Coturnix japonica: one gene and its partners. Each later gene encodes a partner of the first gene's protein in a complex. Links are inferred from orthologs where the notes say so. Each region holds a gene or a part of one and is shown on either strand. Other genes may lie near its edges.

What was found.
Region 2: GEMIN5 (region 1) and GEMIN2 share a complex: the UniProt entries of both Homo sapiens proteins name them as parts of the SMN-Sm complex. The link is inferred for Coturnix japonica from reciprocal best matches to the Homo sapiens genes GEMIN5 and GEMIN2.
Region 3: GEMIN5 (region 1) and GEMIN4 share a complex: the UniProt entries of both Homo sapiens proteins name them as parts of the SMN-Sm complex. The link is inferred for Coturnix japonica from reciprocal best matches to the Homo sapiens genes GEMIN5 and GEMIN4.
Region 4: GEMIN5 (region 1) and STRAP share a complex: the UniProt entries of both Homo sapiens proteins name them as parts of the SMN-Sm complex. The link is inferred for Coturnix japonica from reciprocal best matches to the Homo sapiens genes GEMIN5 and STRAP.

The regions. Positions count from the first base shown.
Region 1 is NC_029528.1:6,013,582-6,021,863, reverse strand, and holds part of GEMIN5 (gem-associated protein 5), read left to right. Parts: intron 1-840; coding exon 841-1,022; intron 1,023-1,559; coding exon 1,560-1,711; intron 1,712-1,919; coding exon 1,920-2,051; intron 2,052-2,236; coding exon 2,237-2,369; intron 2,370-2,804; coding exon 2,805-2,964; intron 2,965-3,479; coding exon 3,480-3,692; intron 3,693-4,390; coding exon 4,391-4,476; intron 4,477-4,888; exon of another isoform or gene 4,889-5,018; coding exon 5,019-5,113; exon of another isoform or gene 5,114-5,744; coding exon 5,745-5,881; exon of another isoform or gene 5,882-6,270; coding exon 6,271-6,344; exon of another isoform or gene 6,345-6,724; coding exon 6,725-6,906; exon of another isoform or gene 6,907-7,007; coding exon 7,008-7,147; exon of another isoform or gene 7,148-7,696; coding exon 7,697-7,868; exon of another isoform or gene 7,869-7,911; intron 7,912-8,127; coding exon 8,128-8,282. UniProt on the Homo sapiens protein: The SMN complex catalyzes the assembly of small nuclear ribonucleoproteins (snRNPs), the building blocks of the spliceosome, and thereby plays an important role in the splicing of cellular pre-mRNAs.
Region 2 is NC_029520.1:34,103,285-34,111,166, reverse strand, and holds GEMIN2 (gem-associated protein 2), read right to left. Parts: upstream 7,645-7,882; 5' UTR 7,630-7,644; coding exon 7,391-7,629; intron 7,148-7,390; coding exon 7,063-7,147; intron 6,282-7,062; coding exon 6,192-6,281; intron 5,030-6,191; coding exon 4,970-5,029; intron 4,811-4,969; coding exon 4,700-4,810; intron 4,268-4,699; coding exon 4,223-4,267; intron 3,722-4,222; coding exon 3,653-3,721; intron 3,219-3,652; coding exon 3,108-3,218; intron 2,944-3,107; exon of another isoform or gene 2,892-2,943; coding exon 2,833-2,891; exon of another isoform or gene 2,500-2,832; coding exon 2,460-2,499; 3' UTR 2,045-2,459; downstream 1-2,044. UniProt on the Homo sapiens protein: The SMN complex catalyzes the assembly of small nuclear ribonucleoproteins (snRNPs), the building blocks of the spliceosome, and thereby plays an important role in the splicing of cellular pre-mRNAs.
Region 3 is NC_029534.1:5,683,238-5,690,485, forward strand, and holds part of GEMIN4 (gem-associated protein 4), read left to right. Parts: coding exon 1-3,340; 3' UTR 3,341-5,417; coding exon of another isoform or gene 5,418-5,687; 3' UTR 5,688-5,714; intron 5,715-5,840; coding exon of another isoform or gene 5,841-5,936; intron 5,937-6,399; coding exon of another isoform or gene 6,400-6,613; intron 6,614-6,875; 3' UTR 6,876-7,104; intron 7,105-7,182; 3' UTR 7,183-7,248. Other genes in the region: TLCD3A (TLC domain-containing protein 3A), read right to left, coding at 5,418-5,687, 5,841-5,936, 6,400-6,613. UniProt on the Homo sapiens protein: The SMN complex catalyzes the assembly of small nuclear ribonucleoproteins (snRNPs), the building blocks of the spliceosome, and thereby plays an important role in the splicing of cellular pre-mRNAs.
Region 4 is NC_029516.1:57,762,845-57,771,624, forward strand, and holds the start of STRAP (serine-threonine kinase receptor-associated protein), read left to right. Parts: upstream 1-4,328; 5' UTR 4,329-4,451; coding exon 4,452-4,563; intron 4,564-5,583; coding exon 5,584-5,719; intron 5,720-6,444; coding exon 6,445-6,526; intron 6,527-6,775; coding exon 6,776-6,848; intron 6,849-7,399; coding exon 7,400-7,496; intron 7,497-8,780. UniProt on the Homo sapiens protein: The SMN complex catalyzes the assembly of small nuclear ribonucleoproteins (snRNPs), the building blocks of the spliceosome, and thereby plays an important role in the splicing of cellular pre-mRNAs.

The DNA of each region.
Region 1 (8,282 bases):
GCGATGATGCTTGAGGTGCTGGGTGCTGCTTGTTCCCATAGCCTGAGGTGTACGCTGCCGTTACAGCATCGTAATGGGATGCTGGATGCTGTTAGCACCTCCTTGCTGCCGCACCCAGCTGGCTTTGCAGCCTCCTGGTGTTTCCAGTTAGTGCATCTCAGGATGCTGGTAGATAAATGGTAACTCAAACAGTTTAGAACAGGGAGTGCTTGTAGATTAGTTGCTTGTTATCCTGTGCTATACAGTCAGAATGGTTGGCTTTGGGGTTCAGGGGAGCCTCTGTGAGCAGCACAGGGTGCTCCTCAGGGGCTACTCTCAGCTCATTGTAGAAAGTGTGGTGCCAGATCTTCTCCATATCATCCCAGTGTAAAAGTGTTAAAGGTGTATGTTTGGTGGCCCTGCTAGGCAGGGGGGTTGGAACTACATGATCCTTGAGGTCCCTTCCAACCCGGGTCATTCTGTGATTCTGTGTAATGGTTGAGTTGGAAGGGACTTCGATGATCTCTAAGGTCCTTTCCAACCTGCACAAGACCGTGATACTGTGTGACTTCAAAGCCCATCTGGTTCCAACCCACTTCTGTGGGCAGAAACACCTCCCACCATATCAGCCATCATCCACGGCCTTGAGCACCATCAACAATGGGGCATCTTATGGGCCTCACCTTCCTCTGAGGATGATCTCTAGGCAGGCTGTTAGAGCAAGTTTTCCATCCCAAAAGAGCCAACTGCTAAATGCACTTTGCTTTATTTTGTGCTTCAGTTCTTTAAAGAACCCACAAAATGAATTCAGTGGCTAAGCGTGCTCAATGGCTTTACATGTATTCAATTGCCTTTCTTCAGAATGCAATCACAGCGTTACACTGGTCACCCCTTGTGAAAGATCTGATTGTGTCCGGTGATGAAAAAGGGGTAATTGTTTGCTACTGGCACAGCAGAAACGACAGCCAGCAATTCTTCCCAGAGCCTCGGACAATCTTTTGTCTCACTTGTTCTCCTCATCATGAAAACCTGGTGGCTATTGGGTAAGTGTTACGTTTTACTTTCCGTTCTTCCATCTCAAAGTGTCTTGTAAATTAGATTTCATTAACATTCCTCACATTACAGGTTACATCATCTGAAGAGAGTTTCATAGCTTTACTGTCTCTTTACCAACAGCTGCCATTTCAGTCCTTTGGACACCTAAGACTACTGAACAAAGCAGGAACATGAAAGCCTTTCAAAAGAGATGAGAGAGAATTAAAGTTATTTGTGGAAAAGGGAACAGCTTTCCTTATATAAAAGTCTCTATTACTTTATAAGGCTCTGAAAACTGTATTGCTGATAAATTGGTGTTGTTCTTGGAGCCAAATATACTCCCTGGTTGCACTTCACAAACAGAAGGCAGCTGTGTTTGTGCTAGTGCTACACTTGAGCTCCAGTTGACTGGTCTCATTGCCACTTGTGATTGGGCTTCTCTGTAATGTGGAGACACTGATCCTGGGTAATAGCTTGCAAATCAGATTAGTTGTTATTCCGTGAGGGTTTAACAATCTATCATTAACTGAAATCTCTGTTTTTAGCTACAAGGATGGCATGGTGGTTATAATTGATATCAGCAGGAAAAAAGAAGTTCTTCATCGGTTAAGAGGTCACGATGATGAAATTCATTGTCTGGCCTGGTGTCCTGTACCTGGAGAAGGAAGGTTACCTGCTTGGCAAGATGAGCTCCAAGGTACGTAGAAGTGATACGTAGTTTGTGAAGTGATACTTAGCTCAGGAGAATGTCCCTGTGGAGAACTAAATTCCTTATCCCTGTAAGGTCAGTAGGTAGCTAATCAGAGGTAACTAGTTCAAGTAAAATATTTTCTGATCCAGAGTAGTAGATTTTCAATTAACGTTTAGAGCTTTGAATTCCAAAGTATAATAACAGACTTCAATGGTGTTTCCTTCAGAAGAAGGTGATGTTCCAAACGGGGAGCTGAAACAAGATACAGCCATGAAGAAAAGTTGTTACTTGGCTTCAGGAAGCAAAGATCAGACAATACGGATATGGAGCTGTACTAGAGGCAGAAGTAAGTAAGATTAATCATTTGAGTGAGACAACAACATAGGTGAAGTGCTCCTTTCTAACTGTGGGTTTCATTTGCTAACTCAATAGTTTAAATAGTGGGGAGCCTACTTAAAGTTCAGATTCTCAGGTCTTTTTTTCTGAGAATTTGGATGTACAAAGTCGAGACGATCCCTTTCTTTTCCAAAGGTGTAATGACTCTGAAGTTGCCACCCACAAAGAGAAGAGGTGGAGCTGTTGATCCTGCTGTTAAAGAGCGCATTTGGCTCACTGTCCACTGGCCTTGTGGTCGTCCTACAGAAATTGTATCCAGCTCTTTTGGGTAAGTAGGAGACAAAGCAAGTAAAATTAATTGTACATTAATTCATTGATATTTAAAGAACAACTGGCAGGAAACACTGACACCCCCATCTTCCTCCCTTCCTAGTATAGCAAGATAGAGGACAGGCTAAGAGTGTAGGGGAAGTTCAGTCTTCTAGAAGGCTGTTATTTGCCCCACAATTCATTTAATAATCTAACTGAATACTGACTGCTAATGGTACTATTTGTGGTTTTTGCCCATTTAATGGAAGCAGTTGACATTTCCACTTCCAATGTGATTAGGAATGGATATCTGTAGGGTAGTTTTATCTCTGTAGAGGGACGTGTAGTGCATGTGTGTCTATCTGTATTACTCTCACACTTGCAGTATGTGCGTGAGCGCTGATATGATTTTTTTGAAGTGAAGAATGAAATATACACACTTTACGTTTCACAGAGGAGAACTGCTACACTGGGATTTAACTCAACCTGGAAAACGCAAGTGGACACTAATGGGATCTTCAGAAGGGCAAAATCACTCCCGTATTGTGTTCAATTTGTGTTCCCTGAAGCATCAAGACAAAGAGCTGCTTCTTTCCATTTCAATGGACAGAGATGTAAGAACCCATTTTAAAATTAACATCAAAATAGCAGCGGCAGTTCAGTTTGACTGAGTGAAACTAGCACTTTGATGACCACACATTTTCTCCTAAAGCAGGCTTATCCCTGCCCTTTATAACATCATGGCTCAACATTTCTTCTGAGCACAAGTTGTGCATTTCTTTGTTAGCATGTAAGCTCAAGCTTTTACCTTGGAGGACAGAATGGTTATGCCCTCTGGACTTGAAAAATCAAACGTTTAATAGCTGCCTTTTTTGTGGGGGGAGGAAGGGTTGTTATGGTTTGGTTTTGATTTTTACAGGCAGCACAGTGCCTCCTATTTTGAATTTAGAAGAGGACCATATAATTAAACCATAGCCCTGTTCCATCGCAGTCTTGCAGTTAATACAGCTCTGTCTTTGACTCATACTGACACGTGCATACTCTGAGTCTTCCTCTCACTTGTGCTTTGTTTTTCCCCCCCCATCATACCAGTCACTTTATCATTCGTTGTTCCTTAAATATTCTTTAGATAAAGTGCTGGGACCTATCAACTCTAGATTGTAGCTGGACAATGCCTTCACTTGGGGGATTTGTCTACAGTCTCGCCTTCTCCCCTGTGGACCCAGGCTGTCTTGCCATTGGTGTTGGAGACAGCATGATCCGCGTTTGGAATACTTTGTCTATGAGCAACATCTATGATGTGAAAACCTACTGGCAAAGCATAAAATCCAAGGTTACAGCAGTAAGTGTGCTTTACATTCCCCTTTTTTCTTGTCTCTTTTCTCACTCCATTTTTCTCTTTGAGGAATGTTTTTCTCTCACACTGAAGAAGGTTTTTTCCTAACTAAATCCTATAATGCCGAGTTGTTACTTCTGCTCTCAATTTGCATGATATAAATTTTAGAATTGATCAGCATTTTAGACATTTTTAGAACAGTAGGTATTTACAGTACACATACTGAAAATCAGCTGAAGTTTAGGTGGTTATTGCCTCACTTTCTTGGTTTTGTAAACAACTGTGATCATTCCTTGTGTCATCCACAGTTTCCTTTTGTTTGCTAGGAAGTTTAACATGTAGAAAAACTGGCACTGATGCCTTCAGTTTGAATTTGAACAGCAATTGGCTAAATACTAACATCTAGTAAACGATGGCAGCATTACAACATGTTAGTTGATCACACCAAAAGTATGACTCTATGTTGTAATGTAGCAGTCAGGTAGCATTTCAATGATTTCAGTTCCTTTCCTCTTGTCCCAGTAACTGTTAAGGGAAGAGTCCTTGATTCACATCACAATGTGGTTAAATTGAGTTGCTGTAGTTAGCATGGTGAATATAAGGGACAGTGCTTTTGATTTCAGTGCTTAACCTGTTGTTTATTATTTAAAAATAAATTGTCAATTCCTTTTGTCATTATGGGGCTCTTTGTACTTTTCTTGCAGTTAGCATGGCATCCAACTAAAGAAGGTTGTTTGGCTTTTGGAACAGAGGATGGAAAGGTTGGCATATTTGATGCCTTATCCAGCAGGTAAGAAAGTAGTTTTCAGATTCATTAGTATTCGATCTTGCTGGTATGGCAGCACACATAGATGACGTGGTCTTTCCTGAGGTTTACATTTGATATTTGTTAAAAGTTAAATTTAAAGTAGTCAGATGTATTTTAAGTGTATCTTTTCATCTGTTCCTTGTGACTGGCAGCTCTTAAAGAAACCTTACTCAAATTGTGTAACAGTCACCTGTTGGAAGTCATCAGTCAAGGATGAGTTAAGCCAGAAAAAGTTCCATAAAATGAGCAACATGCAGATGCAATTCATTAGGACAGTTTTGTTCTGATTTTAGTAGTGTTCTACAGGAAGCATCAAAGGCTTGGCTGAGCCATTGCTTTAGTATTTTGAAGCACCTGTCGTCTGTTTTCACTACTGGAAATACATTAGTTTGAATTTTGGGTTTTTTTTTTTTTTTGCTTGTTTTGGATTTGGTTTAGTTTCAGTTTGGTTTTGTTAGGGGTTTTATTCTGTATTTCCCCTTGCTGCAATCAGACTACTCCTGTTTCCTTACCTTCCTGCACAGTGCTAAGAATAAGCCCCCACAGATCTCCAGTACTTACCACAAGAAGACTGTATACACATTAGCCTGGGGACCTCCAACTCCTCCACTATCTTCTGGTGAGTGTTATAATGTCTTGTTACAAAGTAGAAATCCATACAGAGCACACAGATGCCACAAAGTTGGTGTGCTTCCCTTCCTTATGGATGTGAGCTCCATCTGCTTGGTAGCAGTCCTTTCTATCCACTAAGGATGCGTTCTGCCTGAGAAACTGGTAACAGTTTTGCCAAGGGAGCAAAATAATCTGTTCTGTATTTTGAAAGGTTCGGGAAGTGGATGGGAGTAGAGCACAACACCACATAGTTACATGTTTGTAATGCGCTGAAATAGCTATGTAGGCTCTCCACAATAATTGGTTAGGATCAAGTACAGATTATTTAGCTCTAACTGTTTTTCTGTCATTAAAACTAAACAGAACAGCTCCATTTGTCTTTTATGCAACCTGGGGGGGTTTATTGGCCAGGATTTAAAGGGAGTTTTAATGTGTGCAGCAATTGTGCTATGGAGAATGAATGAGGGGTCCTTTTAGGGAATTGTATTTTGAGAATTTCTTGCTGCCAGATCTCAGAGAATCAAAGCATACATACAGCATTTTAAAATACTGTTTTGATTTATAGTAAGAATAATTGCTTTTCCTAAGACTGACGAAGAGCATAGTATACTTAGATTTTTTTTTCCTCTGTTGAGTAGGAGAAGAAGGTGAACATCCCTCTGTAACTTTATATAGTTGTGCTGGAGAAGGTATTGTTTTTCAACACAACCCTTGGAAACTTAGTGGAGAGGCAAATGACATCAACAAAACCATCAGAGACACTAATTCAATTAAAGTGAGTATGATTCTTGCCTTTTTCTATGGATTTGTGGTTATAGTTCTGTAGCCCATAGTTGTAGGCTTTTGAAGTTTCTTGGAACATGCAGAACTTACTAAGGAGCATAAGGAGGTGGAACAACAAGGTCCTTTTGGAATCAAGACATTTCATTTGACACGTTCCACTGCGCTGGATGTAGCCAGTGATTCTTCCATCATCTTGCAGTTCATTCAGTCCTCAATTGCCCAAACTTATGTCACTACTACAAAATGCAGCAGACACTTGGGTGGCTTTTGTTTTGCAGACTAATTGTAATTCCTAGTTGCCAGTTGTGTTCTGTTGATGTATTCAAGAGAGACCTAAGAGTTTGTGTGATGGCTGGTAATAGCTGCATCTTCTCTCCACAGCACAAACTACCTGCACATACAGAGATCAGCTGGAAACCAGATGGTAAACTCTTGGCCCTTGGCAATGAAGATGGGTATGTTTCGTTGTCAGGATTGGTGCATACACAGCCTTAACCTACAGGAGTCAGTGTTTTGATGCAAAAGTACTTTTTGTTGTCCTGGTTTGGTTCTTAACTTTCATTGCCTATGTATCTGAATTGTGATAATACAATATTCTTTGCTGGTATTTCATTAAGTTGCTCTTGGCATGGAGGATCTATATCACATTACATCATTTTTTCAAGGATCTACACACAGCTGAAATACACTTTCTCTAAGTACTAAATTGGAATGCGACTTGGATCCAGAACAGAAAATCTCATTTCGTTTCATAGACCATCATTCAGGACAAGAAAAACAAAATCACATTTTCACTGACTGGAGTATTTCTAACACTGTTATTCTTGCATTTCAGGTCAATTGAAATATTTCAGGCTCCGAGCTTGAAGTTGCTCTGCACTATCCAGCAGCATCACAAATTGATTAATGCTATCCGATGGCATCATGAGCATGGGAGTGATCCAGAGTTGAGTTACTTGATTGCTTCAGGCTCAGTCAATGCCGTTATCTATGTGCATAATCTGAAGAGTGTTGTAGGTAATGGTTTGCAGATTCTATCCCATGTCTTGGCATCTTGTTTTGCTTTCCTCTTGGTTTGCATTGCTAGCCGTAGCTTATCCTTTTATTTCTTCTTTCAGAGAGCACTTCAGAAAGTCCTTTGACAATAACAGAACCTTTTCGAACTCTGGCGGGACACACAGCAAAAGTCACAAGCCTTTCTTGGAGCCCCCACCACGAGGGAAGATTGGTATCAGCTTGCTATGATGGCACTGCACAGGTACTTCTCTACAACCACTCAGAAGAGTATTTCTTTTAATTTCAAGTCATCCTTTCTGCAGTATTTTAAAAGCAAGCCAACTGAACAAGAAAGCTTTTCTGAGTTCAGCTGCTTAACTACTGCATATTTACCCTTGGCAACAATCTCACACTGGATACCTGATACAGAGGTATACTTTTTTCTTTTGGCTTATTCCTGCTTTTCCAACACACTGCACAAATGAGAATATTGCAAAGAACACTTTTAGGTTGAATGAATGAACAGAGGGAATGAACAGAGGGAAGCTGAGCAGTAAGTATGGTTTTGTGCCTTGCAGTTTGATTTGTAAGTCCAGTAGCATTTTTGGATTCTTAAGAAAGACATTAAGCTGGCTTATTGGTACATACAAAGAAAGCTTTCTGAGTTTTCTCCGTCTGCTTGCTTGTTATTGAAATAGCTCTGCAAACTCAATAGAAGACAAGCTCCTACAAATGTAAATTGCTAAACAGGAAGCATAGAGTTTCACACCTGGAGGAGATTAAGTAATAAAGTTTCTTTCTTGATCATAAGGTATGGGATGTTATGAAGGAAGAGCCACTCTGCAACTACCGAGGGCACCAGGGCCGGCTGCTGTGTGTCCAGTGGTCACCAGTGGACTCAGATTCTATTTATACTGGAGCTGATGATTTCTCTGTTCACAAGTGGCTCATCTCAAAGCAGGAGCATACACGGCCCCCTCAGGGTAAGTATATTCAATGATCCTTTCCTGAAGGTTGATCTGGGAGCTAGGAAAGAAGAGGGTTGTCATGTTGAAATGACAGTAAAGCTTTTATGCTGAATTCAATTCTGCCTGCTTCCCCTTTAGGGATAAATGTTGTCTAAGTTTAAATTCAATCGTATTCTTATTTGCAAACTCAGTGTCGATCTTGAGAGGCAAACAGTTTATACCCCAAAAATCTCTACACGTAATAACAGAGTAACTTTTCTGTGACCTTTTATAGGCAAAAAAAGTATAGAGCTGGAGAAAAAAAGAAGTATCCAACCAAAAGTAAAAGCCAAGAAGAAGAAAAAGCCTGTAGGAAAGAATCCAGCCAAGCAGGATCTAAGTGATGCCGTGAATGGGGATGAGAGCATGAAGGATACATTGCTGGAGGAA
Region 2 (7,882 bases), on another chromosome or scaffold:
CAAATGTGTTTTGTGTCTCCTAAGAAATGCCAAACTGCTGCCTTTCTGTAATCACTCCTTACTGTGTGGCAGCAACTGTCTATTATCCTGAGGGAACAATCACTGCATAAATCAACACTCAATTAACAGCATCCAGTGGAATATAGAAATGATATGAGCAAATAAAGATAACTTATTTCTACAAAAATAAAGGTATATCCTATGCTTCTAAAATTAATGCCTGGTTTTGGTTGGTTTGTTGTTTTTTTTTGGCATCAGAAGAATTGTACAGCTAAGAACATCTACATCCAACAAAGGCAATTTGCTTTAGTTTATTGTGCATAAATTCAGTATTAATGTTCTTTTTTTTTTTTTTTTAATTGTTAGCTACAACTCACTTCTGTAATGAGTGTGTGCAGGAAGATGATTAAGCCAGCAAGAAGCTATAAAGTCATCACCAAGATCCTAGAGGAGACTGAGGTTTGCTTGATACTTCTTGTTACAAGTTTTGTGTAACAATATGTATCTTGCTGTGGGTAAGCATGAAAACACCTTGTTTAAAGCAAATTCTACTGTAAGACTTTTCTGTTGGCAGTCAGGCCTTATGCTTTCAGAAATGTGAGAATGTCCTGTGATAGTGATTCCATTTATGCTTTGAGACCTGCAAATAACAGGCTAGATATAAAGAATAATGCATTAGAACAACGTTTTTGTCTGCTTTAACCATCTTCTGTGTATGTTATCCAATTGTGTGGTTGAGCAGGAACACTGGAACTTGTTCTGTAAGCTCTTAAGGAAGTTCTGAAGCTTGTAATGGATCAAGCCTTCTCTAGATAGTTGCCTTTCGTAGCCTATCAATCTGTGCTGGGAAGCTGGAGGTTACAGACATGATAACCAGGGGCTTACTGTAATTAAGATGTGAGCAAATTCAGATCTTTTCAGGTACTGTGAATGCTGGCTCAGATAAGTTGTAACTGGATAATTAGACAGATCTAGGAAAGATCTAAAGCACCAGCAGAATGCCACTGTGCTGTTTAGAGACCTAGTAGAGATAAAAGTAACCGTGGCAGTTGGTACTCTGTGGGGATGAGCTTTGTGACTGAAAACACTGAGCACTTACACTAGTGGTTTACAGGGAGGTTGTGTTTGTCCACCCGTACAATTCAGGCTTCTCTGAAACTGTAAGGTTAGAGAATTAGCTAACTGCTATTCTTCCTGAGTGCATTTTATGGGTTCTTCAGTTGCCAACTCATGCTGTTTTAAAATACTGTTATTAAAGGCATGGACTTGCACTGTGCCTAATAGATGGATGCTTCAGTGACACCCATTAGGCCCACAGACCTTGGCAGGCCATTTTGTAATTTGCTTCTCTAGAATTAAAACTGTAGTAGTTACTTTCATTTTCACTTGACAGCTAAGATTACTGTTCCATGTAAAAAAGCACTAATAATCCCAAGTTACAGTAAAGGCTTAACCAGTAACTTGTGCTTAATGAACTGTCTTTGTTAAATAGTGAGGGACTGACATCTGTTTCTTGTACAGTGTGGAATTCAATGCTGTCTATCAGTCTGCTGTTACCAGCAGAAATGAGAGTTCCTTTAAATTGGATTTTCAATTGTTGAAGATAATTAGGACCCAACAGAATCATGTATGTATGAAGCAGACACCAATATTCTTGGCAAAGCACTCCCTGTTCAATATGTTAAGTCAAGTAGGTGAGCTAATGTATTTGTCAAGATTCCATACAGAAAATAAGTTTGTCCATTGTGTTTAATAGATGCTTCTGTTGAAGAGTACTGAGTACAGCTGTGCCTTTTCCCCTGGCTTCTGCTACTTTCCACTGTAAAGCAGCAAACTATTACTCAGGAAATCTATGTACTACCTCCCTTTATGTTTTTGTAACATAATTGTATCAGTAATTCACTGGCTATAGTTGTACTTCATTAGTAGTATTTAAGTTCAGGAACTATATCCTGAAAAAAACACATTGGATCCCAGTTGTGTAGGCTTCTGAAGTTCTGAAGGCAGTTGTTAAGTACTATGAAGACTGAGAATAGCCACAATGTTTAAGAACACTTTAAGGTATGTTTCAGTTTTATTAAAAAAAGACCTCAAGGGTTGTGTGTTAGGTAACGAACAGTCGTCTGTGACATCTGCTTAAACTTAGAAGTCTTTACCTAATGGCAGCATCCACAGGATTACTCAGATGGTAAAAATTTATAATGAACAATCTACTACACTACAACAGTTGTTTGAGGGATAACGAGAGATGATTCATGGACCATTTTATGATGAGGATACTGAAGAGTAGTACCCTCATGCTAAAGATCAGCTTACGTTATTCACAGCTGTTCCAAATATATTACTATGTTGAGGGTGCTCTGAAGAAGTTGTATTGTACTTCACAGGAAGACACTGCATGCTTCAGACCTGTATGCTGGTTGTACTATGGCAACACAAAATGGTTTTCTCAAAAAAGTCTAGGAGGGCTCATCAGCTAAATCACGTTGATCAAAGTACCTAGGGGAGAGAAATGGAATACAGTAAGAAGACTCTAATGCAACACACTCCTTACTTTGATCTGAGTTGTTAAACTATCTGCTTTCCAGGCTTTAATTTAGTATTTCTATCATATTTATAGCTTCACGATTGAGGGAGATCACCAAAGAAAACTAGTGTGTCTCCTCTGTTTTAGTCTTAAGTTTGTCTGGAGTCCTTGTAACTAAGTATGTCTGCTACATATATCCAGACTGCTTGGACTGACTTTCACTTTAAAGGAATCTATGTTAGCACAAGGATAATCACGCTTATTCTGGACATGCTCTGCTATTTTATATCTGTAGTCTGCATTACCTGCTAACTAGGCAGATTAACAGGTTCAGAGCTGACACTTGCTCTTCGTTCTTGTTTTCCTGAAAGAGAAATAAATACCAGAACAGTTCCTCTGTTAACCACATCCACTAGGGAAATGTTACCTGCCATGTTATATGTTGTAGTCTTCCTCTCATTTTCTAGCAGACTTCAAATGTGAAAAATAACATGCCAAGAATTTAAGAGCTGAAAAATCACTTTCTTGATAATTAGTGAAGTTAAAACAGTCCTTTGCAGAACATTAAATTAAATCTTACCTCTAGTACTCTCACTTCTGAGCATCGCCTTGCCAGCTGTCGAATGAGGGAGTGAGCTTCAGGTAGCAAAGGTTTTTCAAGGCACGCCAACAGCGCATAAAACCATCTACCCTGTGTGGATTTAAATAGTGAGTTTTTAATTATGGGCATTTCCTTGAAGTTTTACACACTGACAACTTAACCTGATGTCACGGTTTTATGATTTTTGGTTACTGGTTTTCCACATCATAACATGATGGGAACCTCTTTTCTCCCCACCTCTCTTTCGACCTTGCAGATTAAGTTATTGTGGGGAACAAATGAAACAGAGGAGTTTTAGCAGTACCTGAAAGATCTGTATCTGTTGTTTTGTAATTACCCTTTCAGAAAGTTCTGCGTATGTTCAATGTAGTATCTAGTCAGGTGAGTTTTGAGAACAACTGAATACAGTGCACGGATCTAGAAAACTATTTGGAAACTACAGTAATTTCACAGAGAAGAGAGTATAATGTATCCCTTGTTTCATGTGCTCACATGCAAGTAGTTAGAACAAAATTAAGAATTACCAGTTCCGGAGTAAATTTTTTCTCTCCAAACCAGCTTATCAGGTATTCTAAGACACTGGTTACTGTGGCCTTCGAAAGAGAAATATAAAGACACAATGCGATATCTACAGAGTTTTGTTTTGCTGTCCTTCTGCCCAAAGGATTATATTATGTAAAGAGCAAATGTGATTTTTGTCTTTAAATACAGAAACATTATATGTTTCTACTTGGCTGTAATTCTATATGGCGTTCAGTTCAGGGTGAGATTATATGTAACTTTAACTTAAATTTAACTTAACTTAAACACTGTAAGCCCCTAAAAGATGCACTCAAACATTAGAGATTTCTATAAAGAAATTATGAGAAAATACACTTACATCTAGTTACAGTAAATGTTTGCTGGTATAACTGTAGTTAAAGGTGAGATAATATTTTTTCCTTGTAAGTGTACACTGAATAGCAGCTGAAATAAACTATCACCTTAGCACAGAAAAATAGCTGAGATTTATGCAACTGCTGGAACACAGGAAGTACTGACTTTTGCAATATCACTATGCTGTTCTAAGAGGAAGGCTTAAGATGTAGGCTTACCTGATTCATTCTGCTTACAATGCTTAGCAGAGGAGGAAAGCCCACCTGAAAAAAGTCAAGTTGGAAAATGCAGAAACATCACAAACACCTTTTTTTTCTAAGTTAGAACTTACTAACATTTAATGTTAGTATTTGTAATTGGTAATTATTTTGAATTCTGTTACAGAATAGCATGTACAAAAACAGGGAGCAACTTTACAAAACACTAAACCAGACTATGGATAAAACTTCAGCTGGCAGCGAATTAGCGTGTTTTAGCTGGGAACAGATGAGGGAACTCCCCGAACTTTTTGACTGAACTAATAGATTTGTTCTCTGCTTCACTCAATTTCAACTTAAAAGGGAAGAGAAATGGGTCTTACTGGGCTCATCAGCCAGCTTGCTTTATATTTAGCACAACGTGATAATAAACAGTAGCGTTGTTTCTGGTAGTTATTTGTGAAAATAACAGTTGAAAATGAGTCCTCTTATACTCACCTTTATGTAATCAATTCCTAGATTTTCATGGTCAGATTCTGCATCTATTTCTGAATATACTCTTTCACCCAGGCAGAACTTCTTCCAACCTTCTTCATCCTCTAATTTGGGCTAAATTAAACAAAAATAATTGAAACCAGTGAAATATAGCTATCTTGAAGACACCAAAGAACAGACATGATAATACCAGTTGTTGAATTACACTGTAAAACAAAATTAACCACAAATGTAATGACTAGAAAAAACAGAACTGTTAAGAATTCTACTTACCATGTTAACATTGCTGTCCAAATCCTGTGACCGCCAGTGATTTCTGTGCTTGTTCAGGCTCTGAATAATTAAAGCCAAATCAGTTTTAACTTTACAGTTATTGGATCCTAGCCATAATCTTATCTTCACTTAAAAAAGTATGTTTTGAAATCAGTAAAGGCATTACTGAGCACATATTCATCAAGCCTCTTAGTATAAATATAACTGTTTCTTATACTGGGTTTTTGGAAATAATATTAAAGTCAAAGGAATTGTAAAGTCTACTGCATGACGTTTTAAGTAGTAAGTTTTACTAGTCTTAAAATCTTCATATACACCCTGTTTGAACAGTGTATAGAGAGAGACTGCTCAGTTCTTCAATTCTTTTCTGTCAAAGCAAGATACAAATGTGGTAGGAAAGTCTGTGCTAACACTACCTCCGCACTGCAAATCCATTTTAGCAGATCGGTATTTCTGAACATAATGGCTCCCACTAGTGCCCATAGGACTCTAAATGGACAGTGTTTTACATATATGAAGCTCATGGTGAGGTTGGAATCTACTTGTTCTATAGTTCTACAGAACAACGTAGAACACTGTTGATTTTAGTGTCACTGTGTAACATCACAGTGATTTCTGTCCTTCATGGAGTGCTATGTATCATTCAGTGTAAATACTGCCAGATATTTTTGCTTTAACAGGACCACAGAATGGCCTGGGTTGGAAGGGACCTCAAGGATCATGAATCTCCAATCATGAATCTGATCAAAATGTCATGAATCTCCCTGCCACGGGCAGTGCCACCAACCTCCACATTTAATAATAGACCAGGCTGCCCAGGGCCCCATCCAGCCTGGCCTTGAACACCTCCAGGGATGGGGCATCCACAACCACTCTGGGCAGCCTGTTCTAGCACTCACCACTCTTATAGTAAAGAACTTCCCCCTCACATCCAACCTAAATCTTCCCTCTAACTTAAAACCATTTCCCCTTGTCCTGCCATTATCTACCTTTTCAAAGAGTTGACTCTCAGGAATGAGTTTCATCAGAAGTTTAAAAGCCTCACAGTATATTCACATTTTATTTTTCTATTTTTATTAAGAAATTAAAGCAGTTGACTAGCAACATCTGATCAAAATGTCATGGCTTTATGGCAGGAAAGATAGAAGGTTGTCCCCCCTAAAGCACAGATGTGCAAGTTTAAAGCATCCCTCCAGTCTCCATCACACACAGAATTTTCTACCTGACGAACAGATGAGAAATTGGCCACTTGCTGCTGCTGCCACTTGAGTGTTGGAGAGTATCCTTCCGGAGCAGGCTGACAGCCAGAAATCTAAGAAAACACTGGCAATAATTATAATGTATAAAAAGCTTTATAAAAATAATCCTTAAAGAACAAGAGAAGTAGTAAACAACAACGACAGACTGCCAGCAGATAAAAATACAAGTACTCGCTTTAAGAAAGGCAATTTCCTGACAACTGATTTAACAGTTAGTCTGGACAAAATTCATCCTGCTTGATGGTGCATGTATGCAAAGAAGGAAAATTAAACACACAGAATGTGCTGTTGAAGAATCATTTAAGGTCATGTTTTTAGCACCTATTCTGCTTTAACTTCCCTGTGAATAAAAAGGAGAGTGCTCCTTTTTATTAACAGAGGGGAAATCCCAATAAGAAATTCCATCAACAAGTGAAGAAATGGTGCTAACATTTCATCTTACGTTAGCTGTACTTACTGCTCTTACTGCCTTACATACATCTATATATGATCTTCAGGGTCTTTGAATCTAGATACAGATATTGCTTTCTTCTAAAGCTCACACATGCTTTAAGATAGACTTGTAGAATTTGGCTCAGCATTTGATTCCTTCAGGCAAAAAGAAGTCTGCTGTGTGTCAGTTAGTAGGGCTATGGCTGATTTACACTGATCAGCTACAAAGACTCCTTATTGCCCAGAAACTCAACAGGTATTTCTTCGAACCCTAAAGTTTTATTTATTTCATTAGGAGCTTTAAGATCCAGCAAAGCTGCTGTTTCAGTTATGCTTATGACCTCCCTATCTTTCCTGCTGCTTGTTTCTTATAGCAAAAGGAATAGAGCAGCCCAAACTTACTGCAATATTTACTGTCTGCTTCTTTCTCAGTTTCTTGGGGTCTATTTGTGCCACGACCACATCTGGGCATCGCGCTGCTTCGATCCTACAAAATAAAACCAAACCACTGTATTGCAATGGGCAGTTATAGGACGAATGCCTCTGATATACGGCACCTGCAGAAATCTTCACTTATGCAAAAACCAACTGACTCCACGGGCAATTGTTACAGAAGGTCTGACTTCAGAATTAACTCTTTATAAACAACTGCACTTATGTTTGCATGCTCCTAAACTGCCTTGAAGTGAGGCCCGACCGGCCCGCCGCCAACCCCCGTCCCTCCACTCACTGGACGCGCCTCAGGTACTCCTGCGGCGTGCGGGGCGGCACGCTGGGGTCGAAGTCGTCGGGCAGGTCGCAGTCCTCCACGGGCAGCAGCCGCGGCATCAGCTCCTCCACGGCCGCCTCCATCGCCCCGCCGACACGGCCGACCCGCCTCTCCCCGCCGGCCGCCGGCCCGGCTGCTCTCGCGAGAGACGTTCCTCGCGCAGGCGGAGCGCCGCCGCCGTGCCCGGGCGTTACGGCCATTGCGGGGCTGTGCACTGTGCCGTCCTGCCGGGGAACCGGCCACAGCGATAACCCCGTTACTGAGCTGGACGGCACCTCTGATAACCACATTTAGGCCCCGCGTCATTACCTACCTTAGCTTTCGCAAGTAGCTCTTCACAACTCACCCATACTGTCTATTCCGCCCGTGGAAGGGCAGTAATAATTCTTATCCCTTCCTTGTCACGTCTAGAGACCTACAGTGCAAATTAATTGCCTAAAAGGTCACTGCTGT
Region 3 (7,248 bases), on another chromosome or scaffold:
CGCGCGGCTGTGTGCGCAGCGTCCTTCCAGCCGGGGGCAGACACCTCCGCTCCGCCAGGGGGCGCTGTGGGATCGCGGCGGCCGCCTGCTCTGCCGGAGCGGAGCGCGGGCTGCGTTGTCTGCTCCGTTGGCCGCCATGGAGCCGGGCAGCGGGGAGCGGGTCGGGCCGTGGGGCGTGTGCGAGGAGACCGCCATCCTGCACGGCGGCTTCCTGCTGGCCTCCAGGCTCCTGCAGCCGCGGCCGTTGAGGGAGCTGCTCAAAGCCGAATGGCCGCTCGTCGGGCCGCCCATCACCGACGCGCTGAGGGAGATCGGGGCCCGCTGCCCTTCACCGCGGCAGCACGGGCTGTGGAAGAAGGAGGCCGTGGCCATCGTGTGGGCCAAGGTGCTTCTGCCCGCCCCGCCCGCCGCCTCCCTGGACCAGGAGTGGAAGGAAGACGCCTTTTTCTCCGTGGGAGCGATGATCCCCGACGTGAACCGCACCGTTCTCTTCGAGCTGGTGAAGGCCCTGGGCGCTCCCCGGCTCTTCGTGCAGTTACTGCTGGCGCTGCCCCCCGACGTGAGCCGGGCTGAGCTGCGGCACCTGGTGCAATATGTCAGCCACGAGACGGCCCCGTCGGATGTCACATTGCTCATGGATGTGTGGTGGGAGGCGCTGAGACAACAGCCGGATCCGGAGGACAGCACGGTGGCTGCATTCGGCTCCCTGGTGCGTGAGCACGGCTGTGAGTGCGCTCTGGATGACGGCTTGCAGCCCCCAAAGAGGTTCAAGGGGGACCCCAGCTCTCTGAATGGCCCTCCTGCTGCAGACAGCCTGCTTGGGGTCCTCATAGAGGGGTTAAAGCAAAGCTACGGCAGCATCACCTCACCCCGCATGAAGTGCTACGCCCTGGGCAACCTGGTGGAGCTGCTGTCTGTGTTCACCGAGCTGAAGCCACAGGGCAGCCCCCTCCCTGTTGCAGAGTACCTGGCCAAGGTCAGCTCAGTGGTCGGCCTCTGGAGCAGTGACACTGAAAGCCAGCACCACCACAGCGAGCTGGATGAGAAAGTGAAGGAAGCTGAGAGGACCATGAGCTTCTCATCCATGGCCAAGCTGTCGCATGAAGAACTCATAGCTGGCTTGGACTTTCTTCACAGCTTGTTGTGTGCCTGGGGAGAGGAGCTGCGGGGTGTCCTGAACAGCTCAGAGAATCAATGCTATGAGAGCTACTGGCTCCTTGATACTCTTTCCACCTTCAGGAAGATCCTGGTTCGCTTCTCTGAGACTGGAGACCTGAGTGAGGATGAGATGCGTGTTGCATTACAACTGGCACAGACAGTTGATGGCTTTCTCACAGAGATCAGCACCACCCAGAAGAACAAGGATTTGGACACCAGCCTTGAATCCTCAGTTGCCATGATAATCATTGAGCAAAAGCTGCACCGGCACATGGAAGTGTGCTCCATTTTTGCTTCTGAAAAGACCTGGGCCTTTTCAAAGGGCTGGGTTGACTGCCTTGTGAAAAACAAGGTTCTTTTCCAGAAACCAGAGCTGGTTTGGAAATTGCTGGAGACTCTGGTGAACTTTGCCACATCCTGTGAAGGCCGTGAGGCCCGGGAGATGCAGATGCAAATGATCAAAGCCATTGTGGAGTGTTACAGTGAGCTTCCATTAACAGACAAAAACAAAGTGATCTCGGGTGTCCTGGAGGCTTGGGGTGGGCCAGGGCTCTCCCTGAACTTGCAGGTTGTCATGGATGGGTTCCAGGAGGACCTCAATGTGACTTTCAACCAGATCACTAAAAGCTTATCTGATGAAGGCATTACCAGGGCTGTGGCTGCTGTGGCTAGGCTTGCTCTGCTGCACCCTGAGGCCACTGTGAAGCAGATTTGTAGTCTTGCTGTAGTCAACCTAGGAGCACATCAGTTCCTGGCGCAAATCCTCTGCTCTTTCCCAGCTCTGAGCTTCCTGGAGACTCATGATGGTCCAGGCAGCCTGGTGGTACGGTGCCTGAAGGAGGCAGCATGGGAAAAGCTTTCCTCTGCAAGGGAGGAGGAACAGTTTCTTGAGTTTTTGGCCTTTCTCCTGCAGCCAAGTTCAGCTGCCCCACTCGTATCACCTGCAGAAGTGACCAAAGCTTTTGTCCTTCCCTATTTGAAATCAGACTGTGCTCAAATTGAGCTGAGCCTGCAGATCCTCAGTAAAGTTTTGGGAATACGGTCCTACCCAGAAGAGCACTGGATCAAGTCCTGCCACCCGTTCCCACTTCTCCTCAGCCTCTGCAAGCTTCTAGATGGCTACACAAAGTACTGGCATCAGCCTAAGGACCAGCTCTTCCCATCCCTGGAGATCAAAGACCTGGTGCTGAGTGTCCTCAGCCAGCTCTGTGAGGTCGTGACTCCAGAAACTGCCTCCTCCCCAGAGGTTTGGGTCCAGTCTCTGGCCTGGCTTCACAGGAAGGTGGCATCGCTGGACTGGACCATTGGTCTCCGACTGAAGAAGTTTTATGGAGACCACTTCAAGAATGAGGTCCCAGCGACGCTATTTGAGATCTGCACATTCCCTGAAGATGAATGGACATCCCAGCCTTTGCCAGCCTACGGGCCGGGCAGTGGACTGCTGGCATGGATGGAGTGCTGCTGTGTGTCCACTGAGCTCAGAGAGACGATGCTCTCACTCCTCATGGTCAACGTGGACAACCCCGAGGAAGTGAATCTCTTCAGCAAAGGCTTCCTGGTGGCCCTCATACAGGTCCTCCCTTGGTGCAGCCACGGTGAATGGAAGAGGCTTGTGCATGTGGTCACAAACCTGCTGGAGAGGCAAGTGTTGCACGTGCCGTACACACTGGAGTATGTGCAGTACATGCCCCTGCTGAACCTCCGGCCATTTGCCTGCTACCTCCAGCTCTCCGTGCTCTTCCTGCGGGGCTTCCAGCTCCTCTGCAGCTCCAGCTGTTCCAACTGGTTGCCACCACAGGCTTGGCTCCATGTGGTCCAACTGTACTGCAGCAGCCTCACAGACCTGCTGAGCTCCATCAAGAGCACCACAGGGCCCCCCTTGCACCCTGCTGAGCACAGGAGCTCCGGGGAGGAGGTGTCCTTTGTCTGCATCCAGGTGTTTTGCCACCTCCTGCACATTGCAGCCATGCTGCCTCCAGACAGTGAGTGTAGTGAGCCGCTGGTGGTGGTGGCCTTGGAGGTCCTCTCTCAGTATGAGGTATTCAGTTCTGCTGATACGTCCCCCAGCAACGTACTGAGGAGAGCCAATGAGAAGCATTTCCTGGAGTCCATCACTGACAATATCAGTGACAAGGCTTTGCGCAGCCCCCTCCTGCAGAAGCTCAGCAAGCTGGGTGCTTAGGGCAGCCTGCTTGGCCAGGGACAGCACGAAGAGCCGAAGGGAGAATCAGGAGAGCACTGACCCTGCTGCAAGGGACCACTATGTGGAAAACTGTAAGATCCGTAATAAACCTCATCTATTTTTCACTTTTGAACTAATTTCTTCCCTGCTCTGTTCCCTCCAAACCTGTCTAAACAGCAAAGCAGCCACATAAACAGCTGTAGACACAACTACTGCTGCTGCGAGCTCAGTCCCTTGGCCCCAACCTTGCTTAATATTGGTCTGGAGTTTCACTGTGCTCACAAAAAGCCTCTGGCACCAGGAAAGTACTTCTGTCAGGCTGTCCTCTCCTCGCTGTGGCTGCACTGCTGTTTGTGCCAAAGCAGGATGCTCTGCGGGATGAGCAGGCACCTTGGGCAATAGGTGTGGGCTGCTGCCCCAGGGTGGGTGCACAGTGGCAAACTGCTGCCTAAATGCCTCCCCACCCAGCAATGAATGGCACGTGGGAGGGAGGCATCCGGTGGTGTGACTCAAGAAAGAAGTCTTTATTGATCTCTTCTGATAGGTACAGTAGTAAATAGGGCAGTGTTAGTGCAAACTGAGATGCCTCAGTGACTGTCTTTACATAAGGCACATTATCTGTAATAAAAACAGCAATATACAAATATTTGCAATGGGTAGCAAGCGGTTTATAACAGCAGCTTGTCTCAATGGTTAATGTAACAGTAGTGCTTGTGCAATAACCGACTGCGTGCTGGAAGAGGCTTTTGTAAAATCATTATTATTCTTTCCAGCCTGTACAGCCATGGCTGGGACAAGATCTGACACCCAGAAGAAATGGTTCTCCCAGCCTGGGCCCCTTCCAGCCATCCTTTTTAGCTTTTAGACAGAATGAAAGGCACAGAGTGGGTGCTGGTCTATCAACTGCTGGTGCAGCTGGATGCTCTGGAACAGAGGAAACTCCAGGCTTGTGCAGGAGGCTGTGGGGAGGACCTGGCTGCTCAGTTTTATGCTGTGTTCAGAGAAAGAAGGGCACCTGTCCAGTTTGTGTATGTCTGCTGGTGGTGCTGGTTCCTCACGCACTGAGCAGTTCCTTCCCTGCCAGGTTCAGGCAGGTCTCCCTTTGTAGGGGACCAGGATGGGGCAGGAAGGACAGAGCTGGAGCTCAGGCTGTACCCAGAGTGCTGCTGGTGTCAGCTGAAGGGAGAGCAGGGGCAAGGAAACATGTTGGGCTTTCAGTTACCTGATAGAGGTAATGAGGCAGATGAACCCATCCCCTTATGCAACTGCAGCCAGGCAAGGGGGTTGAAACCAGCCATCACCTGCCATAGAAGGGCTCTGTGTTGGTGGGATAGGGACTTTGCAATCTCCTGCCCTTCAGTGATGGCTCTTGCCTGCCTGGCTTGCTCTGACAGAGTGCAACCAATCCTTGGATCCTGCTGGGGCTCCAGAGCTGCCCTACTCCCTGTCAGCCACAGACATCACAGTGGTACTGAAAATCCCCTTCGAGTTAAGTGGAGAGTCCTAAGTAAGCTTGAGCCCAGCAGCAGCAAGGTGTGGGCAAGTCAGAAGCTGAATGCAACTGTAGTGTAAAGGCACCATTGGGGAACAGGCTGTGCAGAATCACAGGGCCTGGTTTTGCTCCCTGCTGGAGGAGCAGATCTGAGCCCAGCAGGGACAGCACGCAGCTCCCACATCCCCAGCACTGCTGCTTGGGGCTGGGCATGCTCCAGCATCGCCTACACTGCTGCATCCACTCCATGAGATCCTTTGTGCAGTGCCTCACTCTGTGCTGCCATCAGCTCTGAAAGATGAGGGATCTGTAACAGTCCCTTCTCATGTAACCATTAGTTTGGTGCTGCAGCATTGAACCCTAGAAGGAATGTTATGCTTATGGGGAGACCTCTTCCTTGCTCAAGGTGCAGGAGCAGCGTGGGAGGAAAGTCCCCCTAGTTGAGACCAGCACTGCTGACAGCAGGGCTGCCTCATGGCATCGATGCTGCTGTGCTCCCACGATGGTTCCTGCAGCTCTGACTTTGCAGGCAGAAGAGCTGTGGGGGGGAACAACCCTTCTCCAGCCCTCGTGCTCCGCCAGCCATTACCTGCTCTTGTCAGCAGGTGAGCTGCCGTAGAGGCGGACGGCTTTGCGGCAGATGAGTGTGAACCAGTAGAGCTGCGGGGCGATGAGGGAGGCGTTGGCTATGTTGCAGTGCAGGGGGATGCGGAAAGGCACCATGTAAACAGGGATTCCCATCTGCCTGCCATAGGCTGCGTACATGAAGGGGAAGAGGAGAATACGGCAGAGGAAGAAAGTCACCAGGATGAGGATCCCGTTCACCTTGTGCAGCAGCGTGTCCTGCATCTTCAGCTGGGAAAGGAAGAAGGCGAGCATAGGGTGAGTGCTGTGTGAGCAGTGCAAGGGGGGGATCCTGGGGTGGGGAAGGGGTGCAGGCTCCCAGAGTCCCCTGGAGGCAGCAGTGACCCAGGCACCCACCCCATGGCACCCACCCTCCTCACATACCTGCATGAGGATTTTGCCCAGCGATACAAAAGGAGTGCTCAGCTCTGCTGTGAAGATGCAGCCCACGAAGAAATCCCCCAGCTCTCCCCTGAAGTGCTGCAAATAACAAGAGTAAGCACGGGACCTTCCCCACTGTGACATGTTTCATATACAAGGCTCTGCTAATGGATCTTGCTGCTTTCAGGTTAGCTGGGAGCTGATACTGAGCACCTCCACATCTCCTGGCAGGCAGAGATGCTTTCCAAACTCAGCTGAAATGGTGTTGACTGTGATGCCAGCCAAGTAACAGGCACAGATCCAACACACACAGCTTGAGGAAAGCTTCCTCTTGGTCAATGTATTTGGTATCAGCTGATGTCAGTTCCTTGCCCTGGAGGCGTTCATGAAACAGGGAGATGTGACATTGTGGAATATAATTAGTGGGCATGGTGGGGGTGAGCTGGGGTTGGGCTTGGTGATCTTAGAGGTCTTTTCCAACCTTAATCTCACAATCCCCCCAGGCAGCTCAGTGTTGGGCTCCCACCTGTCTGGGTTCACAACATCCATGCCTGGCCCTCACCTGGGTGATAGGGGTGAGCACGATGAGGATGAAGAGGTGGTGGGTGACCATCAGCCGGTCCTGCAGGAGGAAGCTCCACACACTGGTCAGCGAGTGCTTCCTCTCTACTATGCCTTTCTCTTGGCTCTTGTGCCAGTGGCAGAGGTACATGACGTAGATGTCATAAGTCATGTAGGGAACCAGGACCCAGACGTATTCCACAGCCAACCAGTGCCTAAGGAGGGAGAGCACAGAGGTGTAGCAATGGGTCTGGGAAGCCCACAAGGTAATGTTCTCACACTGTGTGCCAGGGGAGGTTCAGGTTGAATATCAGGATAATTTATTCTCAGGAAGAGTGTTCAGGTAGTGGCACAGCTGCTTAGGGAAGGGGGGAGACCCCATCCTTGGAGGTGTTCAGGAACTGTGGGGATGTGGCACTGAGGGATATGGTCACTGGGCACAGTGGGGTTGGACTTAATCCATTTAGTCTTTTCCAGCCTTAACTCTGTGATCAATGAGTTCGGTGGGTTTATCTGGACAAGGAGCCTCAGCTCAGCCATCCCAGAGGAAAGCTATGTGAAACAGCAACAGAACAATGGGTGATTCCTGAGTGCAGGCACTGAGTGGGGCACGGCTGCCTTTATCGAGTCAGTGCCATTCAGTGCCTGCCCGAGCCATGCAATTAACCCTGCATCAGGAGCAAAGCCACAGTGCAAACAGCACGAGGTGAGGAGCACCCTGAGCCTGGGGCAGGTGTTTGCTGGGGCCGTGGCACCTCCCCAGATCAGTGCTCATCTGCTGCAGGTAATCCTCTGTGCCCTACGCCCTGCATCCGGAGCTGATGGTAGGAACAACACCGTGACCGTCTGT
Region 4 (8,780 bases), on another chromosome or scaffold:
GGTGAAGGACTTGTAAAATTTAGCTGTGAAGCAGGATATGCTTTGGAGGAATCAGGTCAGTGCTTGAATATAAAGTATGCATAGGTGGCACCTGTCAGCCCTTTCAGACATACTGTTTTGCCTTAAACATGAAGACAATGTAGAAAGCTGTTCTAACTCATCTTCAAAAACTGACAGCAAATATGTCTAGTGAAGGTGCAAGAAATCAGCATTCATAGGAAATAAGTAACCAAATAAAATCATATAGGCTAAAAGGATACTCCAATGGTAACCTTGTCCATCCTTGAACTCAAAGAGGAGACAAGGTAGGTCCAGTTGCTCAGGGACTTATATGACCAAATTTTGGGTATCCCCAAGACTGGAGATGCCATCACTTCTCTGGACATTTTTTCTAGCAGTTGATCACTATTCTGCTGAATGTTTATTTTGCTTACGTCTGTTTGGAATTTCCCATATTCCAAATTATGTCCATTATTTTTCTTCTTTCCACTGTTCTCTTTGGAGAAAAGTATGGGTTTGCCTTCTTCACTTCCTTTTATAGGTTGCTATACACAGCAATAACATATTCCTTATTCACCTTATATTTTACAAAAGTACAAACCCAGAGTGGCAAAAACAGAACTCTGCACTTGCTTTTGTTGAACTTCATGACAAACACCAGACATAAACATCCCTTTGCAAACATACTAGCTGTCCAAGGTATTGGCTGCATTATGCCTGTCCCACTTGAGATCATTCACGAACTTCCTAGAAGTGCACCCTCCACTGCCATCCAGGTTGTCAAAAAAGATATCTGTTGGTCCCAACACCAATCCCTGAGGTTGGACTTTGAGACAGCATTCCTTGAGCTCAGAAGTGCAGTCAATTTTCCTCCCATCTATCCACTTACATATTATCATTTTGACTTTAAGGACACTCTGAAAGAATGCAGTAAAAGTCCTGCTGAAGTCAGGCAACATGATTGGTCAGGTGTTGTTTGTCCTTGGTAAATTCATGCTGACTATTGCTGATTGTTTTTCATGGTCTAGAAATTGCCTTACAAACTTCTCAGGAACACAGATGAGGTCTACTGCAGGGCCGTAGACACTGGATCCTCCTCTTGTCTTTCCTGAAGTTGAATGTGTTGTTTTCCTTTTTCCAGTTCTGAACAACCTCCCTTGATCTCCACAACTTCTAAAGGTGATGGAGAGCAGACATGCAGTGACACTGATCCATTCCCTTGGCACCACTGGAAGGATCCTGTTTAGTGCCACAGATTTGTTTGTGTACAGTCAGCTTAAGTACTTAAGGATTGCATGATAAAGTCTGTCTGCTGTTGTTTATAGGCTGATGTTTGAATTACTGTAACTTTTCAGAACAATAAGCATAAATATAATCTGTAATGAAGAACATCTTCCAAGTGAAAACATCAAAGCAGCTTAAAATTATGAATTAATTCAGCTTGATCTCATTCCTGAAAATTTGTTTTACTTCCCTTACAGTGAGGGAAGTATTACAGATGTGATAATACTTAGAAAATAAGCATTTTGCTAAATCGTTTCCTAGAAAGTGAGTCAACTGGCAGACAATTTGAATTCTCTTTTAGCAAAGCTGTTTTAATCTGATTCACTTTCACTGTGAATTTAAATCCTTTGCAGAAGTGCATACTTATTTACATAGCCTGAATTATCAAGTGGTTCCAATATGAGACTTGAAAAGAGGTGGAAAAAGAATATTACGTTACTCATAACAATGTGTCCTCCTTTATAACGCAGTCATGCTTCAAACTGCCTAGGGAGCAAAGCTGCTGGTTGAGAAATGAAATATAAATGGCTAATTTCACCTGTAATTTAGCACCCATAACACTCATTTGTCAGTTGGCTACAATAACTAAGCACGGTAATAGACTTGTTTGTCTCTTTCCTCTGCATTTCTCCTTCTCTCTCCCCTGTTAACACTTCAAGATAATCTGTTCCCTTTCATCCCACCAAGTCTCTATAAAGCTGTTCATTGACATTTGTTCCTTCTATAAGTCCATATCACGTTCATCAGATTATCATAAAACTCTACTGTTATATGAATTGATTGAACACGATCAATCCTAGTACAGGATTTTGGAACATGGAATTGACTCTTCTGTGAAGAATTTTAGCCCTGACTTTGTCTGCTTGCAACTTAGACCCCCAGGAAATTTTCCGTCTGACTGGAAGACAAAGAACTGGAACATTCAGAACATGCACCAACAATAGAGTTACTAAGACAATGAGGATTATTAAAAATGGTTTTATCTTTGCTGTAATAGCTTCTCTGATCCTTGGTCTTCAGGTTCCATTCTGTCCTTTGAAAGGAGAAAGATGACTGTGCTGGGCAAAAAGATAGGATAACAACAGGAGAAAGTTATGTCATCACTTATCAAACTTTAAGTAGGCAGCGTTTTCACTGAAAAGCTATGACACTACTTTCCAGCTCTTTTCCCTGTTTAGTCCCTTTTGCCTCTGTTCACATTCTCAAAAGATACTGCCATGTACACTCAACAGAAGAGTTTCTGCGCTGCAGCCCTCACATTCCCTACATTTGTGTTATAATAAGGTTCATGAAATTAGAAAAACAATGCAGTTACCTGCCATGAAGGGCTGTTCTATAAAAGAATCATTGCCTTGATGCACACTTTTCTATTATTTGTAAGATATGATTACTTCTCTCATTCAGTTACTTAGTGATATTTGACTGCTTAAGGCTGGCTCTCAATTGTAATTATTCCCCAGTGAAAATACAACCACATGCTCTGCAGTTGCTCTCATATCTCCTCATAGCATCTGCATCACATCATCCTTCAGCAAACAGCTATTCCTCTTCTTCTTTTCTTCCTAATTTATCTGTACAAATTAATAAGGAACATTTCTCCAAAGGAAAACTCAACAGAGGTAAGGAGCATTGGTGTGCCTACTCATTACACTGCGTCTTCAGATTATTAGAGTAATTAAGATTCAAGGTCATCTAAGGGATTGCCCTGCTGCTGCCTCTTGTGACACTGGAAGCTTTCCATTCACTTGTTGAACTGATTCATTTGAGAGACCTAAGCATCCAGTAGCTTTAGTGCTATGTCCATAAGGCAGTTTTGTACAAGCTGAAATCACAATCAAAAAGTCACCCCAGAGCAGAATCTCTCAGCTAGAGCGGTGACGTGCTAATAGATATGTACGGAGCTCCCCTCAGTGGCAAGAGAAGGCATTTTCAACATTGTTATCTAGCGCAGGAGCAGAAAGGAATCTTTGGAAATGTAAATATGTACACCAAACTCCTTGATTCAATCTCTGCTTGATCTACTTTAATCAAAGCACTAGAAACATGATTTTTCACTAAGATAGCTTTATTCATGTTCAGCAACGATTTCTAAGAAAATTCAATCACTGTGAAAAGATGTTTCTAATCAAGCAAATATTATAAGTCACCAGTGACAGAGTCAGGCCCAGGTGCTTTATAACATCTGATTGGCACACTTGCTATTCTGTGCAGTGATGGGGTGAATTGCTCTATATGATTACAAGTCCCTGATTACTTCCTGACAAGCTGGAGTTAATGAATATTTATTTAATTCTATTGGATAATTGTCTGGATAATGAACAGATAAATATGAAACACTGAATAAAAAAATGTGATGTTTTTTTTTCCCCCTTACTTTCCTGCTGTCTGATACACAACAACCTTGACTAAAAACCAAATAAAACAAAATCTTACTATTTTTATTCTAAGCTTGTGAGGCTTTCATTTGTAAATATCTACTCTTACCACCTTTCCTATTTCCAGTAATATCTCCAGCCTTTCTTGAAGACCTGAGTGCCTGTTTTTCACTTTGAGGTTTCTCTTAGAATCTTTGTATTAAAAGTTGTCTAGTCTGAATGCACTGAATTAATCCATTTCTAAACCAAAGATTGTCAGACTGTAGGGAATAAACACACCTAAACGTTAGTGTTACAATGGATTTAAGAGGCAGGGATAATCTCTTTGGACTTTAGTACTTAATCAAATTTTGATTGGTATGATGTGGTCCCCTGTAACATTCCCTCCAAATTGGAAATAAATGGATTTGATGGGCAGACTGTCTGACAGATGAGGAACTTGTGAGATAGTATGCAGACAGAGGTGGTCAGTGGCTCAGTGTCAAGGTGGAGATCAGTGACGATCCCATAAGAGTCAATACTGGGGCTAATGCTCTTCAATATGTTTATCAATTACATCAATGGTGGGATCTCCTCCCCAGAGCAGTTTCCTCTTTGAACACCACAGCTCACGTACCGGCTACCAGCACTTCCCCTTCCGCACCCGCTCTCTGACGTATTTCCTCTCCGGAACGCTTCCTCCGCCGTCATTTCCTCCGCTGCCGCCAACACCGCGGTCGCCGTTTCCCACCCGGCTGGAGTGTAGCCGCGTCCCCGCCCAGCTCCCTGCGCGTCCCGAGCTCAGCCGCCGCCATGGCCATGAGGCAGACCCCGCTGACGTGCTCCGGGCACACGCGACCCGTGGTGGACTTGGCCTTCAGCGGCGTCACCCCTTACGGCTACTTCCTTATCAGTGCCTGCAAGGGTGAGCGTGGCTGGGGGGGCGAGGGGTGGGCGGCCGTGCTCGTTTCACCGGCCCCTTTCAATAGTCGCAGTGGCTGGGCCTGCTCCGCACTGAGGCCTTGTGGGTTGCGGGCCGCTGTTGGCGGGTTGCGCGTGGCTGTGGCCATAGCCACCTATTTGAGAGGTTTGCGATGGGGAGAGTGGGGAGGAGGGTTGAGGTGAGCGTTCAGTGGGCCCTCCGTGTTCTAAATACCTGCTTCCAGCGTGACCAGATGGAAAAGGGAACCGGTGGGAGGCTGGTTCTGCCGGGTTTTAGCCCGCAGGGCTTTGAGGCTCCCATTCATTCAGGCTGAATCCCACTTGCGAAGGAAAGGCTTGAAAATCGTTATCTGAAAGTAGCTATAACTTTTACACACTTTAAAACCAGCTCCTTTGCAACCAAGGTAGCTGCCTTGCTGATTGCGGAGCAGTGATTTCTGCTTCCTTTCCCACAAGAACTCTCTTCTGCTTATTTATGAGAGTAGCATTTTCATTTCTATGCATATGAGTTAATGTTCACTTGTGTTCACAAGTGTAAAAGAACATTCCTCGATGTCTCTGAGGACTTAATGTTCAGCTCTATTCATTGCATGAATTATATCTGGTTGTGTCCTAGCAAAAAATAGTCACAGTAAAGGCTTTCTATTTCGTTATTACAGCATATCTCTTTGTGTTTTAAACATCTCTCATTACAAACCCCAGACTCCTTTTTTGTGTACTGTTAGTCTGAAAATATTGTTCTAAAATGAATTGAACTGACCTGCCCAAGGAACACTTGGCTATATTAGAAAAGAAAAAACAGCAAAAGGTGCTCCTTTTCAGAGGTGCATCTGTACATTTAAGTTCTTCAGCTATACCATTTCACAGTGTATATGGTGTTTCCATTAAGGGAGGCCAGTCTGGTGGCAGTTTGATTGCTCCATGTTGGTGTGAGGGAATTGTTTCCTAACACAGCTTGCTTTTTTTGTTATGTTGTCTGAATATTGGTTTTGTTTTTCCAAAGATGGAAAGCCTATGCTACGTCAGGGTGACACAGGAGACTGGATCGGCACTTTCCTAGGTCATAAAGGTGCTGTCTGGGGTGCTACGTTGAACAAAGATGCCACTAAAGCAGCTACAGCAGCCGCAGATTTTACAGCGTAAGTGATTACCTGCTTTTGGAGTCTTGATTTTAGTCAATAGCCTTTTTTTTTAATATGGCTGTAGTAAGTTGCTGTGGTTTTGTTTTTGTTTAAGTTGTTACTTTATATCTGTATTACAGCCTAGAATTTAAGGTTTTTATGAGTAGCTACAGCTAATTCTATCTTGCTGAGCAACTGTGGTTGCTTCTTGACATATATACTTAGTTATAGTGCTGATTTATTGGAATAAACAATGCTGTGCAGTTCTCGACTTCAGTACTGTAGTTATACGAGAGTGGCAAGAGTGATCTTCGTTTTGTGTACCACTTTTTATTAGAAGAAGACATGCAGAAATATTAATGAATTATTTCTTTTATTTTTGTTTTGCTTGTTTGAACTGTTTGCAGCATACATTAATATATTTGACAATTCAAATCCTGTTATTAGAATTAAGTCCATAAAAGTTGCAGAGAAGAGCTGCCTTTGTTTGTCTTAAATCTAAAATGCTGCTGATGTGTTATCCTGAAGAAATTAGTGAAAGAAAATGATGGGTCAGTAACAAGAAATTCTTCAGTGAAAGAATATGAGGTCTGTAGTTCATTACAATGTAGCATTTAGGATTAAAAATGTTATGATAGTATCAGGAAGGATTGTATAGGGTAGATTAGGAGAGACAACTTAACTTGTGTGTTCACATTTATCCTGGAGCTATTGAAATGTACGTGTTCTCTCTTGTCATTTAGCAAAGTGTGGGATGCTGTGTCGGGAGATGAACTAATCACATTGGCTCACAAACACATTGTCAAAAGTGTGGATTTTACACAGGTATGGAAAATCTTTATAGCATATTCAACAGAGAGGTAAGGTCTTCGGCATATTTTTTTATTTGCTACTTTTTTTATACATATGCTTAGGCTGGCAAGTAATTTAGCATGCATTTAAGCTTTGCTCTTACAAACAAGTTGTAATAAATGTTTTAGAAACTGAGAGAAATAACTGGTATTTTAAGGCTTATGGATGAAGGCTGGTATTTCAATTCAAAGTAGAGTTGACCCTTTATAACTTCTGTTTCAGGATAGCAATTATCTGTTAACAGGTGGACAAGATAAATTGTTGCGTATCTATGATTTAAGCAAGCCGGAAGCAGGTGAGTCTGCACTTACAACTGGTTACTGTTGGTTTTGTTTGGTTGATTTTTCTTGCGTGTGAAATTTGTTGTGAATCACAAAAGACACACTTGAGGCTCGTTGTACAAAGAATGTGTCTATAACAGTTTTCTATACTAAATCAAATTGTTTTAGTCTTTGAAGTAAAATAGAGCTTATCTATGAAGAGATTTAAGGATAGTGTGATTGACTTTAACAGGGACTTAACTATGACTAGGTCTGAATAAAGTTACACTACCCGAAAGGCAAAAGACTTTTCATATTGAAGTGTGCTTAAATTTGTATTAATACTGAACTGCTGAAAACTGATACCAAGCTAATTAATATTGATTTTAACCTAGTGAAGCTTTTTAAGTTTAGACAATTGGATAGATTCCTAGATTGAAATCTGTAAATAAAAGTCAGTAGTGTTTGAAGTAATTTTGCAGCTTCTAGTAAATAGAAATCCATGTAGATGACCAGAGTTCCTAAACTACTGCACAGTGTTAATTTATATTCTTATGTGTACTGAAATACTTGTTCTTATTTCAAGAACCTGATGTTGTCAGTGGGCATACTTCTGGTATTAAAAAGGCTTTATGGAGCAGTGATGACAAACAGATTCTTTCAGCTGATGATAAAACTGTCCGGTAAGGAAAAAAAAACCAAACTTCTAGTAGTTTTCTCTGAAGCTCACTTTTACTTATTGTGTACAGTTTCTGTCAGAGGATTGTTATTTCCTTGGGAAATAGTAATAAAGGCTGTTTGATTCTAGATTAGAATATGCACATGTAATCCAGTTTTTCATGTTGTTGAAGATATAATTTTTCTGTTAATTCTGATTTGCACCATAAACGTGTCCTCCCTGATAGGAAGAGGTGGTCTCTGATAACCGAATAGTAGAATTAATTTGATTTTTCTAATCCTAGAGGAAATTAAATTCTAGGTGAGGTCTTGTGAAGACATGCTGAAGTGTCTCTGCCTTGTCTTCTGCAGTCAAGCCTTGAAACATGCATTGGGCGAGGGTTGGGATAAAAGGCAGGGAAGCCTCTCTGGAGACAGTGCCTTCTTAATAATCATAACTGTCTTTCTCTTCCATGTGGTAAGTTGAGAAAGCTTTTCTGGTTTTGTAAGATAGATCATCCCCTTAAATGTAGATGGGCTAAAGCCTAGACAGACTTGGCTGCTAGGGAGATGAAATGATAAAGATCCTTCCTCAATCTATGCTGGCCAAAAAAGAAGGAAGATGTGCCTTGCTGCTTCCACAACTTTCTGGTTGATGTGATCAGCATCATCTCATGTCTACTTGTCTCGTTATTCTTATATTTATGGCATAGAGTAATAGTGGCTTTCTGCTTTGTGGAAGGGCAGTAGATATAGAGTGAAATCACAGTTGCAGTCTCCTTGTTTCTGTTTTGGCTCCAATTCTTTTTCAGTTCCTTCATTCAAGATAGTCAAGAGACTGGTCTTTTATTTTTTCTCTGAATTTTAGAAATTGAAATAACAGCATTGAGTTATTTAATGAAATAAGAAACTCATAATTTATAGAATGGTTTGGGCTGGAGGGGACCGTTAAGAACATCTAGTTCCAACCCTCCTGCTATAGTCAGGGACACCTCCCTCTACACCAGGTTGCTCCCAGCCCCTTTCAGCCTGGCTTTGAATGCCTCCAGAGTGGAAGCATCCACAACCTCACTAGGCAACCAGTTCCAGTGTCTACCCTCAAACCAAAGAATTTCTTCCTAATGTTTAGTCTAAATCTACTCTCTTCCAGTTTAAAACCATTTACACTTGCCATGTTCCTATGTGCCCTTCTAAAATGTCCCCCTCCAGCTTTCCTGTTGGCCCTTTCAGGTACTGGAATGTTGCTGTAAAGTTCCTGTAGAGCATTCTATTCTCCAGGCTGAATAGCCCCAGCTCTCTCAGCATGTTCC